Linked DNA regions of Notamacropus eugenii. The protein of the gene in region 1 interacts with the protein of each later gene in a pairwise test. Links are inferred from orthologs where the notes say so. Each region holds a gene or a part of one and is shown on either strand. Other genes may lie near its edges.

The links.
Region 2: the proteins of SRF (region 1) and ELK4 interact in a two-hybrid assay, tested with the Homo sapiens proteins (2 studies listed by BioGRID and IntAct). The link is inferred for Notamacropus eugenii from reciprocal best matches to the Homo sapiens genes SRF and ELK4.

What each region holds. Positions count from the first base shown.
Region 1 is NC_092873.1:106,071,554-106,078,766, reverse strand, and holds the start of SRF (serum response factor), read right to left. Parts: upstream 3,008-7,213; 5' UTR 2,875-3,007; coding exon 2,347-2,874; intron 1-2,346. UniProt on the Homo sapiens protein: SRF is a transcription factor that binds to the serum response element (SRE), a short sequence of dyad symmetry located 300 bp to the 5' of the site of transcription initiation of some genes (such as FOS).
Region 2 is NC_092873.1:433,841,826-433,849,375, forward strand, and holds the start of ELK4 (ETS domain-containing protein Elk-4), read left to right. Parts: upstream 1-4,540; 5' UTR 4,541-4,675; intron 4,676-7,550. UniProt on the Homo sapiens protein: Involved in both transcriptional activation and repression. Interaction with SIRT7 leads to recruitment and stabilization of SIRT7 at promoters, followed by deacetylation of histone H3 at 'Lys-18' (H3K18Ac) and subsequent transcription repression.

The DNA of each region.
Region 1 (7,213 bases):
CCCAGGCCTTGAGACTCCATGCTGTCCTGAGTTTCTAAGAGATTTCTTAGAACATTAGAAGTTCAGCTAGGAGGGTAACACACTTAAAACATACAGACCCTTCCCCATGATACTTCAGCTAAGTACCCCCAATCATCTTCAAGGCAATATGAGCATTCCCCTAGGTAGTTATAGTTTGCAGGTCCCTCTTGATGACCCTACAGTCAACCACAGGGGAGGAGGAGCTCAGTTCAGCTGTCCTCCTATCCACTTGGGCAGAATCAAGGACCAAGCACAGCTGCTGGGAGCCTTAGGGCACATTCACACACCACACCACACCACACCACACTATACCACACCCACCCACACACACACACACACTCACACACACACTCTCCCTCCTTTAAGTCCCCAACGTTTTGAAAGGCAAGCAGGGCACTAGGAAGAAACATGTGTCTGGGATTTCCACAAACAGCTGAAGTCACCTTCCTGTCCAGCATGAGCCTGAGACCCATGCTAGGTTGCATGCCCTTTCTCACCCTTGGCAGAACTTTGAATGCCATCACCTTTCCTTTAGCTCCTGAATCCTCAGCTTTTTTAGGGGTTAATATCAGTATTTATATCAATATAAAGAATGTCCAAAGTTGAAAAGATCTTGGAAATAATCTAAATCTCATTTTAGAGAGGAAGAATGCCAGGGCCCAGAGAGAGGAAGTGATTTGCCCGAAGTGGTCATCCAACTAGTTCATGAAAGAATTAGGTCTATAATCTGGGTTTCTGGACTCCCTGTCTGGTGCTCTCTCTCTGCTGGACACCAAGCTGCCTCTTTGAGCAATGCTCTGCTTACTCTCCCTGTCAGGCCCCTATGCACAACAACCACGATAATCTTCTCAATTCAGGAATCTTTTACAACTTATAGCCTGTTTCCATGCACCTCTATTTTGGTCACAGAGGTGAGACTTTTACTTCAGAGGATCACCCTTACCGATCACTCTGCTTGGGCCAAGAGTTGGAGTCTGTAGAGGAGCCAGCTCCACAGCTATCTACATTCTAGATGATTGAGGGGTGGGCAGCTCTCCTCCCCCCATGCCACCCCCAAGATTTCCAAGACCAACAGGACAATGCTAGTTTCTACATTGGGCAGGTACAGGGATAGCACTTCCAAGGCTCTGACATCTTGTTCTTCAAACACCTATTCCTCTCTAACCGGAAGGCAATCTCCTCAATCTCAATTAACAATTTAGACTCCTCCTACCACCCCCTTTTACCATGCCGGAAAGCTTAGGAAACTCAGGCCTCTTCCACAAAAGAGAGAGTAAATCTGTCTCTAGGGGAATTGGGATTTGGATGTTCAGGTCCATTGCTGAACTTTCCCTCAAAACCCTAAGCACATTCCCACTTTCTCTGGAAAACCAGACTCGGCCTTTCTTCTTAAGGTCTCGGGGGTTTCCTCTCCCCTCCCCCCATACTTCTCTACTTCCCTTCACAATGCTCATTGATCTGTTCTGTGTCAGCCCTCATATCTACCTGAGCTTGGACTCATCCTCATCCTAGTCATTATCTCCACCAAATATACATCTATATCAACAGATATCTGGATACATCTAAACATATAGATAGATCTCCCTTTACATCTATATATAGAGTTCTCTATAGCTGTGTGTATATATGGGTATAGATCTATCTGCATAGCTATGTCTCTATATCACAGCTATAGATTTAGAAGTACAATTAATATAGATAGCTACAGATCTTGGTAGGTAGACTTCCCCGTCTCCCCCCTCCGCTTCTGTGGGACTCAGTCCGTGTCTCCAGGAGCTCACTGGGGCCTTCGCTTCCTTCCTTGCCCCCTTTTCCGGGCTGACCATCTCATTCTGACAGGGTAAGTGGCCCATTGTTGCGCTGTCCTCCCCATCTGTCCACACACCTTTCCACCTCTCCTCCTGCCTTCTGCATGCACACTGTACTCACACCTGCCCCACCATGCCCCGAGCCTTGTTACTCACCCCTTCCTGGCAGCCTCTGACTCGTCCTGTTACTACCTCCGCTCTCTCGCTCTCTCTCTCTCTCCCTCCAACCCAAACATCTCCATGGCCCACGATTCCTCCTCCCTCCCTCCCCCCTTATTACTCACTGCCTCCCACTGCCACACTCTTGGTCCCTCTCGGGCGTGGGACACCTTCTTCCTCCTCTGCCCCGTCCCCCTGCCCTCCCCAGCCGGGTCTCCCCGACACCCCAGCCCAGGTCGCACGCCGGGCTGCCGCACCACCTTCCATTCATCACCTGGGTCCTCCTCCTCCTCGTCCCGGACGCCCCCCGTCCCGGTTTCCTTGCCGGGTCGTCCGCCCGGACCCCCTGCGTCGTTACCTTCTTCATGATGCCCGTCTTCCTCTTGCTGAAGGTCGTGTAGCGCCGCAGCTTGTTGTCGATGAACTCCATCTTGATCTTCACGCGGCCGCGGGTCTTCTTGCCCGGCTTGGCCCCGCTCACGGCGCCGCTAACGGGGCCGTAGCCCCCGGCCGCCGCCGCTGCCACGGCCGCCGCCGCCGCCTCGGACCCTCCGACCACCACGCCGAGTTCCATGTCGCTCAGGCCGCGCTTGAGGCCACGCCGCTCGGCTCCCAGCTCCTCCTCGTCGCCGGACTCGGAGTCGCCCTCGCTGCCGCTGTACAGGGTCCCCGTGGCCGCTGCTGCCGCCGCCGCCGCCGCTGCAGCCGCCGCCGCCTCCCGGTCCAGGCGGCCGGGCCCCAGCCCCGCGCCGTTCCCGGGGCCGCGGCCCCCGTTAGCCCCGCGAGTCCCGCCGCCCGGCCGCCCCGTCGGGGCCCGGACCAGGCCGCCCCCCAGGGCCGAGCCCCGGCCCAGCGCCGCCGCGGCCCCAGCCTGGCTCGGTAACATGGCGCTCAGTACGGGCGGGCTGGCGTCCGGACGGGCGGGCAATCAGCGCGGGGCCGGGACTGCTGCTGCCGCCGCCGCCGCCATCGGCCTCCGCTCCCCGCCCCGACTCGGCTCCTGCTGCTGCGGAAGGCTGCTGCTCCTGCTCCTGCCGCCGCCGCCGCCGCCGCCGCGAGCCCGGGGCCCCTTGCACGGCCCGCTCCGGGCCCTCACGCTCCTGCCCCGGTGGCCCGGGTTGCCCCAGGCCGCGTGCAGCGCCCCCTGTCCGAGAGCTCAGGCGGCGCGCCCCGCGGCCGTCAACGTGCCCCCGGGGGCTGGGGCTAAAGCAGCAGCTGCTGGCGGCAGCGGCGGCGGCGGCGGCGGGCGGAGGGGGCCGGGACCACGCGCTGTCGGCGGAGGGATCCCCCGACCCTTCCCCCCATATAAAGAGATACAATGTTTCCTTTTATGGCGAGGCCGCTCCTTATATGGTGAGCCCCAGCGCCCCCGCCCTATTGGTCGGCGGTTCCGGCACCTCCGTCTCCCATTGGCCCACCTCAAGGGGGGGGAACTGTTCATTTGCATTGGCATACCAGGCCAGCTGCTGTCATTCTAGCGTCAGGCCGAGGCGCGGAGTCCAGAGGCTCCGGCGTCTCTTAAAGAGACAGGAGGTTGGAGAATGGTCTCCGCCCCCTCCGGACGGTGGGGGTTGAGAGAATCCAAGGATGGGGTGGAAGGGGCGGAGGGAAACCCGGGAGATGAAGCGGTTTAGAGCGCCCATCCCGGGAAGGGAGGAAAGGAAATTGGAACGCAGAAGGGGCACAACAGGCAGGAATGGGGGGGCCCAGGCTGGATCGGTGAGAAGACTGAGCAAGGGGCCAAGTTTACTTAAAGAGGCACGCTTCTGGAGGTCCGTGGGGGGTACAGAAAAGGGGGGCTGTGCGCTGGCCTTGACCCCAAACATTCCTCCCCACTCTTCCTCTTAATTAGCCCTACAATTTAAAGGGGTCAGCTCCTTGGTCTGCATCCATCATCTCCCACCTTGGGGGTAAGGGGAAGGAAGACCTCTGGAAGAATGAGATCAGGAAGAAGAAAAGGGGCTCCTGAGTGTTTGGAGGTCACTCAGTCCAGCCCTCTCCTTTACTAATGGGAAGACGGAGGCGCCGAGTTTAAGTAGCTTGCCCCGGCACACTGCTAGCCTCTGAGATCCGGACTCTGGCGTTTTTTTCTTTTGGGGGGGAGGGGGGAAACCACAGCTTCCACTTACAAAATGAGGCTAGGAGAAGTTTGAGTCCTTTCAGTCATGTGTGGTGCACAGCGGGACAAAGGCACGGACCACATAGGGCGGAGGGGAGTTTTGAGAGTAGGGAGAATAAAGAAGTCCACATGAGGATCACCTCTTCTCTTCTCGTAGGAAAAATGAAAGCTCAGAAGAATGGGATCTATGGGAGCTAGAACTGGGAGACTCTGGGGAGCCTTTAGAGCCCTTGGGCTCCCTCTCCCTCCTTTTACAGAGGACAGGGAAGGCACATGATAGGAAGTAGCTGTGCAGTGTCACAAGTAGTCTGAGGAGCAAAGCTAGGATTCAGATCTTCCTCTTTGGTGCTGTATTTCAGTGGACACTGATGGAGTGGAGGACTGTTTCATTCACTGTTATGTATCTCTCTAGCACCTAGCAATTAATAACACTGGCTGATCGACAGATGAACCTGGACTTGTTTATCATGTCCCACCATACCAATGCAAGAATTAACAATCCCTATATCCCTTCCCAAGCTTGAATCATCTTAGGAAAATGTAAAATAATATTCCATGACACATGAAAAAATCTGTGATTTCATCAGCAGAGTCTCAAACTAAGTTTACTTATCAGATAAAAATCCTAGGAAGTTTCTGGAAGTGAGGCAAGATTTCTGCTCAACTTTTTGGCTATGAAAATTAAGTAAAAAACTGGTAAGAGGAGGCGTCTCTAAGGAGGCATACCTCTAAAGGGGTATTTAGGAATATGTGGGACTAGAGAGATACATTTATGACTTTGGGAACAAGAAAGCCAAAATGTTACTCATGTCTGGCCCCAAGTCGCAACCCTAGGCCTTCCTCCAGTTACATCTCAATTCTCTCACTCAATTCAGTAATTGTTGAAAAAGCCCTGGATTTGAGATTCAGAAAACCTTAAGTTATAGCCTCTGAACACCAGCTTCCTGATTTGTAATATGGGGATAATAAAGCAAAACCGAGTAAGGTTCTTTAAAGCTTGTGTACATGTAAGCTATTGCCCTCATTTGTCTGATGTTTTAACCTTTTTTCTAGAAAGATCAAGGTCATACTTGGGATTCTCAGCTTTAACCTAGGAAATGAAAGAATGTGACACTTCCCTGTTCAACCCTCTTTTCCTCCTCTTTAGTTACAGTGAAGATTTGGACCAAGAGTAGGGTTATCTCCACTGGATCACAGAACTAAAGCTAGAAGGGACCTCAGAGGCCATCTGATCTCCATCTGTCCCCTACCCCATTTTACAGATGGAGAAATGAGGCACAGAAGTGTTAATGGCTTACCCAAGGTGGTCACAAAAGATATATATCATGGTAAAATTTGAACTCAGGTTCTCTGATACCTGCATTTAGTATTCTTTTCACTACACTATACTGGTGGCATATATTAACACATAATGTGTGTATATACGTATGCATGTATGTATACACACATGTGTATATGGGTTTTTACACACACACATACACACACACACGGCTTAATCATGGCCAAATTTCATTCCAGCTTCCCTGGAATAGATCATAACAAGAACTTTTAGCTGGGGCCTCCACATTCTTTCCCTAGAGCTTCTCATATCCTTGAGATAATATGTGGTTAAACACTTCTCTGAAGTAGTGGCATAGTGGCCACAAGGTTTTTTTCCTCATTTCTTTCCTAGAGTGCTTTGAAAACACAAGATTTAACACTTCCAGAGTCACAGAACTAAAATCTAGGTTCTAGATTTAGACTTTAGTCCAATTTCATTATTTTACAGATGAAGAAACTTAGGGGGAAAGTGGTTTGTCTGAATCATTAAGAAGCAGCCTCAGAATCTGAATCCAGGTTGAGTCCAAATCCAGTGACCTTTCCACTGACCCAAACTGAGATCTCATGCAACACTATAGTTATTCTATACACCTCATCAACTCTTTTCCATGTCATCCTATAAATTCTCCACAGGGAGTCCACTCAATGAGCTACTGGCCCTTCCTCTGGACCTCAGCATTTTGTAAGTACTGGGTCTATCTCTGTTGTTATGCTTTAATTGGCTACTGGTTCATTTAATTTTTCTTATGCCACTTTTTTTCAATAGGAATAGAGTAAATATGCTTGTAAGTTTATTTATACCTACTCCTACATCTCTTTACTTCCATTTTTGATTAGTTAAAAGAAACCTGGTGCATTTCATGATTCAGAACTATATAATATCACAAGAATAATTTTTGTTTAAGGGATGAATTTTATCTTGGGGGTTTTTTTAGTTTTTGTTTCAGCAACTTAAAAGAACTGCACAGTTTTTTAAATGCAATCTCCCCTGGAAGTTTTTGAGTTAGGCCCAGCCCAGTGGGTCCAATCAAGCAATGTCTGTCCAGGATAATGGGCAGAATGGCTGTCCTGGGCTTGGCAAATAGAGCACTTGAAAAACCTTACAGTGTGCATTGTATATAAATTTTATGAGCAATTTATTCATCCACTTCTTTTTTCCTATGTGAACTTTTAGAGGCTTAAACTGGAGTGGTTTTAAATCCCTTTAAGAGGCAACTGTCTTTCCATACTTGAAGCATTAGTACAGTGTTCCTCTGCAGACATTTAGGGGACTTCATTATAAGTCTGGTGAAGCCTGTGGATCCCTTCTCAGAAGAATGGGTTTAAATGCATAACATGTAATACAGAAGATTACAAAGGAAATCAAATTTTATTAAAATAAAGAAGGACCTGAGTCTATGAACCCCCAGTTAAGAAGTCCTAATCTACAGAGGTCCTTCCATTTGGACTCATGGAGAAACAGAAAAGAGAGGGGAGGAGGAAGGGGAGGAGCAGGAGGAGAAAGAAGAAAGAGAAGGAGAAAGGAGAGAGGAAAATAGGGAAGAGAGAGAGAGAGAGCGAGCGAGTGAGAGAGCAAATGCACTAGCCAGCCCACTAAGAAAGCTAATGCAATCTTGGCATTCAGGAAATAAGAACCTGAATGTCTGTTCCATTTTACTATACCTATGTCAGGCCACATCTGGAGTATATTCAGTTGTGGGTACTATGTAATATATTTAAGAAGAATATTGGGAAACTTGAGTGTGTCCTGAAGAGAGCAAGCTAGATGGTGATACAGGCCTCAGAG
Region 2 (7,550 bases), about 330 Mb from region 1:
CCTGTTGGGTATCATTCTCCAAAATGGTTGGAGCAGTTTACAACTCCACCAACAGTGTGGCACAATGATATTCTATTACATTCATATGCTACATACCCCAAAAAGGTGAGCATCCCCTTAATTTCTAGATTTTTTCATTACTATGAAAAGAACTGTTATATAGTTACTTTTCATTTTCTATTTGGGTCAAAGGGTTTGGACAATTTTATAAATTTTTAGGTTAGCATAGTTTGAAATTGCTTTCCTGAATGGCTAGACCAATTCATCAACAATGTACTTGTATGTCTGTTTTATTGCAGCCTTTCTATCCCCAACACTGGTCATTTTCCTCTCTTGTAATCTTAGTCAATTTGATGGCTATGAGGTAGAATCTCATAGTTGCTTTAATTTGGATTTCTCTTGTTATTAATGATTTGAAGCACTTAAAAAATTTATATATAAAATTAAGTCACTTATTTTTAGTTTTCAACATTCACTTCCATAAGATTATGAGTTTTAAATTTTCTCCCCTTCCTTCTCCTCTCTCCTTCCCAATCTCATATAGGCTCTACTTATACATTCATATTAAACATATTTTCCCATTAGTCATGATATAAAGAAGAATTAGAACTAATGAGAGGAACCATAAGAAAGAAGAAACAAAACAAAACAACAACAAAAAAGGAGAGCAAATAGTATGCTTCCATCTGCATTCAGACTCCAAATTTCTCTGAATGTGGATAGCATTTTCCAGAGTGAGTCTTCTGGAGTTGTCTTAGGTCCCTGCATTGCTGAGAAGAGCTAAGTCTATCAAAGTCAGCCACTGCAATGTTAATGTCACTGTGTACAATGTTCTCCTGGTTCTGCTCATTTCACTCAGCATCAGTTCATATAAGTCTTTCCAGGTTTTTCTGAAGTCTGTCTGCTCATCATTTCTTATAGCACAACAGTATTCCATTACATTATATACCACAATTTGTTCAGCCATTCCCTAACTGATGGACATCCCCTCAATTTCCAATTCTTTACCACCACAAAAAGAGCTGCTATAAATATTTTTTGTACATGTAGGTCCTTTTCCTGGAGCATTTTTTCATATAATTATTAATAGTGGGAATGATTTTTAATGTTCTGTGTTTAGGAAAATATTACTGTTCTATTAAGAGTACATGGTTCCAGTAAGCAGGGATTATGCCTTTGTTTTCCTAGCCCCTAGCACACTGCCCTGTACATAGTAGGAATGTAATAAGTGCTTGTTGAATTGATTTACTGGAAAAAATGCCTGGCACAGAAATATTAGACTGCTTATGGCCCAAGGTTTAATTGGCCTTGTTGGCCTCTTTCTTTTTCCCTGCCAGACTTTTAGAAAAAGCAGTCTGCACTCACAACCTAACTCTCCTCAACTCCCCTGTATTTAATCTGTCACTGACTCCATATATCCAATCTGTCAAGTCTTTTCTTTTTTACTTCACAACATCTCTATAGGCTCTTATCACCTCTCGCCTGGACAATTGCAGTAACTAATCTTTAACTGGTCTTCCTGTCTTTAGTTCTTTCCTACGCTAAAGCAATTTTCTGAAAGCACAGCTATTACTATACATATCTCTCCCTTTTCCCACCAAATAAATTCCAATAACTATTATCTCCAGGATGAAACAGAAAATTTGCTGGAATTAAAAAGCCTTCACAATCTGGCCCCTTCCTACCTTTCTAAATCTTACATTTTACTCTTGTCTGCTCATTCTATGAGTATTCCAGCTACACTAGTCTGCTTTCTCAAATTCTGTCTTCTGTAGAAGGCCTTTCCTGACTCATTCCTCTCCCATCCTTTCCCTCTAAAATTGCCTCTATATATCGCATATGTCTTGAATGTACATAATTATTTGCATGTTATTTCCCTTATAAAAATGTGAGGTCCATGAAAGAAGGAACACTATTTTTTTTTTCCTTTCTTTGTATTCCCAGAATAGTGCCTGAGCATAGTAAGCATTTAATAAATACTTGTTGACTGACTCCTCAGTCTTTTATAACTTAGCCACGAGATGATTTCTATGCCAAAAAAATCTTTTTTCCCGAGGTTACCAATGACCTCTTTATAGATAAATCTGAAAGTCAGGATGGTATTGTGGAAAAATAATCTCAGAGTGGGGAATATGTGGGATCAGTTTCTGTCACATACTGGCTAAGTGACCTTGGGCAAGATACCACCTCTCTGTATTGGGCTTCTCTCAAGCTTACATTGCAGAACACTGCCAATCTGGGTTGGCAGAGGGACTTTCCTTACTAGGAAGTCCTTACCCTGATGAAGTAACATCTGTACCAAAAAGGAATAAATCCGATTGTTTTTATTCTGTCCTCAATTACTTTTACTAATGACTCCGGTAAAGGCACAGATGACGTGCTTATCAAATTTACAGCTGACTCAAAGCTGAGAGACGTGGCAAACAAACTGGATGATGGTCAGGATCCAAAAAGCTCTTAACAAACTAGAAGCCTGTATTGAGTCTGGCAGGATCCCCAAGCCAAGACCACCCCTTTCTTTTTACTATTAGGAGATACCCTGTTTTCCTGAGCTAAGGTCCAGCAAGTACCCTGAGCTTGGCATAACAACAGTCCTTTGCACTCACCCTCTACATGAACTCAGCCTCGGCAACATCCCAGTATTGTTTCACACCTGCACCAGGTGGTCTCTTGAGCTTGTTTAAGTACCTGTAGTACCTGTGTCCCAGTCATAAAATCCTGCTATGAATCAAGCTTGTCTCACTGTAGCTGTCAGGGATACAGCTCACTGCGCAGCCTCTAGCGCATACGCTGAGATTTACCCACACTAAAATAGGTCTCCTACTACAGGGGGCCTGGCACATGTATCTAGTTTTCCTCCTCCGATGGAATAAAAAGCTTTTGCTTATGACTGCAGTTATCCCTTTGGTTTTATTTTTTATTTTATTTTTTAGAGTTAACTGCAGTTTTGATAACTTGTGTGAGCTCTCTGGTTTTGTTTTGTTTTTGAGTTAACAGCAGTTGCAGAGTTGCTGTGGCTCTTTGGTCGTTGGGTTAGAGTTGACAAGTCAAATGAGTTGAAATTGAATATGGATAAATGTAAAGTCTTACAACTGGGCTAAAAACCCTACTTCACAAGTACAAGCAGTGGGAGGGGAGGAGAAAGAGTTAAAGAGCAGTTTGTCTGACAAAGATCTTGGGGGTTCTGGTGGGCTTCCAGGGCAGTGAGTCAGCAATGCAAGAGGACCCAGGATAAAGTCTTGGGGGGGGGGGGGGATATCCAGTTAGGACAATTGAGTCATGGGAGAACTAGTACCGTGAAAACCAAGAGGATGGCCAAAGACTGCAGAAAAGCCAAGACGGATACATATAAACCATTCCGTATTTACTGAACTAGTATATACTTATCCAGGGATAGTTTGTATCTCTCTAGTATAAGGATTCTGAACCTGGGATGAACAGCCTCCTCTCTGGGACAAGATTTCAGCAGGTCCATGAAACTGGAGGAAGAAAAATTCTACCTTCAGCCTCTAACTGAAATTTAGCATGTGCTCCCATTATTATAAAACACCGCAGAGAAGAGGGCCGCAGGCTCCCCGGGCTGTCAGAAGGAGAGCTCCTTGGGCCGGCACCGTCTCTCCTTCTCGGGTCTGTATCCCCAGAGGCAAGCAGGGGAGGCGGACTGGGCACAGAGTCCTTCCCCTTTGGGCTCCCGTTTACCTTCCTCATTTCGTTTCATACAATTCTGTGTATTCCCAGCATTTAGCTACAGTGCCTGACACACAGTAGGCGCTTAATAAATGCTTACTGACAGACTCTTAATTGCGGTACCTCCCTTCCGAGTTATCCATGTATTCTGTCTGTAGCTTGCTTTGTATATATTCGTGAGTCCTCGGAGGGCGGGCACCTCTCTTTGGCCTCTTTTTGTATCGTCGGCGCTTAGCCGGTGCCCGGCACCAGCAGGCGCTTAATAAATGCGCGCTGGTCGGTCACGTGCCAGAAAGAGGGGTCAAGGGCGATGGGGGAGGAGCGCGCCCCTGTGGCCGCTGGGGTGGGCCGGCCAGGGTTAGCTAGTTCCACGGGGAGTTCCGGGCGGCGGCCCTGGAAATCCCCCTCCCCCGGCACGGCCGGGTCCGGACGCTCGGGGCCAGGCGTCCTGGAGGGTGACCGCGGCCGCCGCGCCTCCCGCTTCCGGCCCCGGGCTCTGGGGGGGTGGCGGCGCTCCTCCCGTCCGCCCGCCCCGCCCCCGGAAGTGACGCAGACAGCTACCGAGGCCGGGAGGGGTCGGGCTCGGGCCGGAGGGCGGCAGCGGCTGAGCAGACGCGGCGGCCGCGGGGCCGAGCCGAGGAACGCTCCGAGCGCGCGCCCCCGCCCCCGCCCATCCGCCCGCTGGCCGGTCGGTGAGGGCGGCTAGCGGCCCGACCGCCCGGCTCCGTTGCCCAGGCTGTGCGTGCGTGTGCGTGCCTGCGGACGGAGGACGGAGGACGGGGACGGGACGGGAGGAGCGGCGGCGGCGGGAGATGCGGGCGAGCGCGGGCGCCCGGCGGGCTCGGCTGGGCCGCCGCCGCCTCCGCGGCCGTAGCGCCCGTGGGCTGCCCGCGTGAGGAGACGGCCGCGGGGGGCCGCCGCCGGGGCTGAGCCGCAGCTCGGCGGCGCCCGAGGGAGAGGAGGACCTGAGGGAGACCCCGCGCCCTCGGTGAGTGAGCCTCGCCCCTCGCCCCCGCCCAGCGCTGCTCTCGGGGCCGCCGCCCACGCCGCGCGCAGGAAGCGAGCGCCCCCTCCCCCCCGAGCTTGGGGGTGGGGCCGGCGGGGGCGGGAGAGGGAGAGGGGTGGGCGCGCCCCCCAGCCCGCTCCGATCCTCGGGAGCCGCAGGCCCCCCAGCCCGCCCACGACTGCGGGGCGCCGCCAACCAGAGCATCCCTGTGTGCGGTGCGGGCCGGGAGGAAGGGAGGGAGCTGGATTTCGTTCGCTGGCAGGAAGTCGGAAAATGAAAGCACAGCCCTGGGCTGCTCCCGAGGGAGGCCTGGGGGCCGGCGGCGCTCCCCAGGACTTTGGTCGCCCTGCTCCGGCCACGCGGTCATCGGCCTTGCCCCCTCCCGCGGATCCGGCCGCTCCTGCTTTGGGATACCCTGGGATCTCACTTTGTTCCGAGGCTGGTCGTGGCGCTGACCAGGGGACTGGTCAGAAGCACGTTTTTCTCCTGCGATTATGCCTCAGGTGCCAGGGATGCCAGAGTGAAACGAGAAGCGCCCAGGAACCTAGAGCTTAGCTGGAGGGACAAGACAGTAGGGCGTTCTGTGTTACGAGAAGTACACAGGAGAGATTCAGAGAGGCAGGAGACATTTAAGAAGGAAGCTCCCCTGAGAGGTGGGAGGACTCCTGGCCGGGGGCCACCCGATCTGGACTAGGAGACGGCGGAGAAGGGCTGTTGTCTGGGACAGCCCTGAGAGATGCTGTTGCCGTTTTTCCTACTCTTGGCTTTTGATGTTTGTAATTCAGTGTGACCTTTCCCGACCCCATTTAGGGTTTTCTTGGCAAAGAGAATATTTTACTCATTTCAGCAAAATCTGTAGGATGCTGTTTGCTTTAAAAAAAAAAAAGCCACAGAAATTCACTACACCTTTAGGTTGCTAGGTCATGCCCTTTTTTATGTTTTGATCTGGTAGGAAGTATAATTTTACTTCTAGAAAAAGCATCATGATGTCCTGGTGCTGAAAGACATTGGTTCAAATCTCAAGTTCTCATATTTACTAGTTGTGTGACTTTTTGCCAAATCTCAGTTTCCTCCTGTTTCACTTAGGAGCAATCATCAGGCAGCTTGGCATAGTGGAAATTGAGTGGTGACCTGAGTTTGGAGATCTGGGGCAAATCACTTCAGCTCTCAGCCCCAGAGAAGATGTGTATTTGCATTGGTAGTGAAGGCACCTCTCTAGAGACTCCTTACACTTAAGAAATTACAAGTTCCTCAAAAAATCCTAGTACAAATACTCTGCAGAATGATGAAGTGAGGAAAGTGCATCATAGACTTTAATGTACTTTAACTCAGATTTGTTTCTCTAATGGTATCTTTATTAAAGTGTTTCATGAGTTTTGATATTCTATCTTAATCTTCCATCCCTCTTGTATTTCAGTTTTGTTTCCAAAGTGCCTAAGTGGAAATCAATTACATTATTAATAAAGTATCATCTTTTCCAAATGCTGCTATTTGTAATATTTTACTATATATTTCCAATACTATTTGAGTACACTCATATGGGATTAGATTTTTTAATTTTTTAATGTTCATATTTCAGTATCAGTTTTGGTCCATTTAATGAACTGAGATGATTTTATTCTATCTATAATTGAAGTTTTTTTAAATCTGTTTTTTGACAATTATGCTCTGTGTCACTATGGCAACTGAATAGTGTGTATTGTAAACATGTTTAGGTTGGAAAAGGTCTCACTTAGAGACTTCTTTTTCATAATAAGAAAGTATTAACATTATCAAACTTTGATATAGATATTATCCTTTATCCCAGAGTTAAGAAATCGCATGTATATTCTGAAATTCTCCCAGCTTTAAGATGTTCACTGCATATTCAGTTGCAACATATTCAGCATCCCACTTGTATTAATATCAGCTAATTTATTTTGAGAAAAGATCATTTTATTTCTCCTTTTGTTTTGTGCTGAAGAAAACACAAGTGTCCCTTCTTTGAAGCTGTATTTGAAAAAATGTTAAAATAAAAATATAATGTATTCACCTTTTTGAACCACAGTGACAAGAATAAGGTTATCTTTGCTTTTTTTAAAATTTAAGCTTTCTTAATATAAGCTCTAGAGGGTCATAAGGTAGTAGTTTTAGAACTGAAAGGGACCTTAGGCCATCTCGTTCACTCTGATTATTTTACAGATGAGGAAACTGAGATGAAGAAAGGTTAAATGATTTACCCAAGATTATATAGGTAGGAAGATTGGGGTGGACTTTGAAGGGAGGTCCCCTGATTCCAGAGCCAATAGTTATTTTTTCTTCTATACCATTCTGCCTTGTGTGAGGTTTTCTTGACAGCTGTCCCTTCCACTTAATACCTTATGTATATTTTGTATTTATATGTATACATATATGTATGTGATATCTTTCTAAATAGGATGTAAATCCCCTAAGAGCAGAGAATGGTTCATTTTTGTCTTTGTATTAGGGCCTGGCACATAGTAGACACTTAATAAACACTTGCTGATTGAGTAGAATGTCTTAAAAACAAGTTGTCTATTTAAAAAGATATTACTGAAATCTGTGTTTATACCATAATTTCAGAAAATAGTATTTAGGAATTGGACACAAGGAATAAGTAGTCAACTAAATCTTGGCTAAGATGTCAACCAAAGAAAAGCTTGATGTCCTAATTGAATAGGATAATACCAATTGAAACAGCACAGTCACTTCAAAGAATTCATTTCAGTGTGGCAGTGTTCCTCTTTCCTTGACTGTCATTCTCAACATCTCCAATTCCAAATGCGTTAGATGTATTTGATGTCATTCAGTGCCCAGAGAAAGTGTATTCTGTAATATAGTTTCTGCATTTGATATA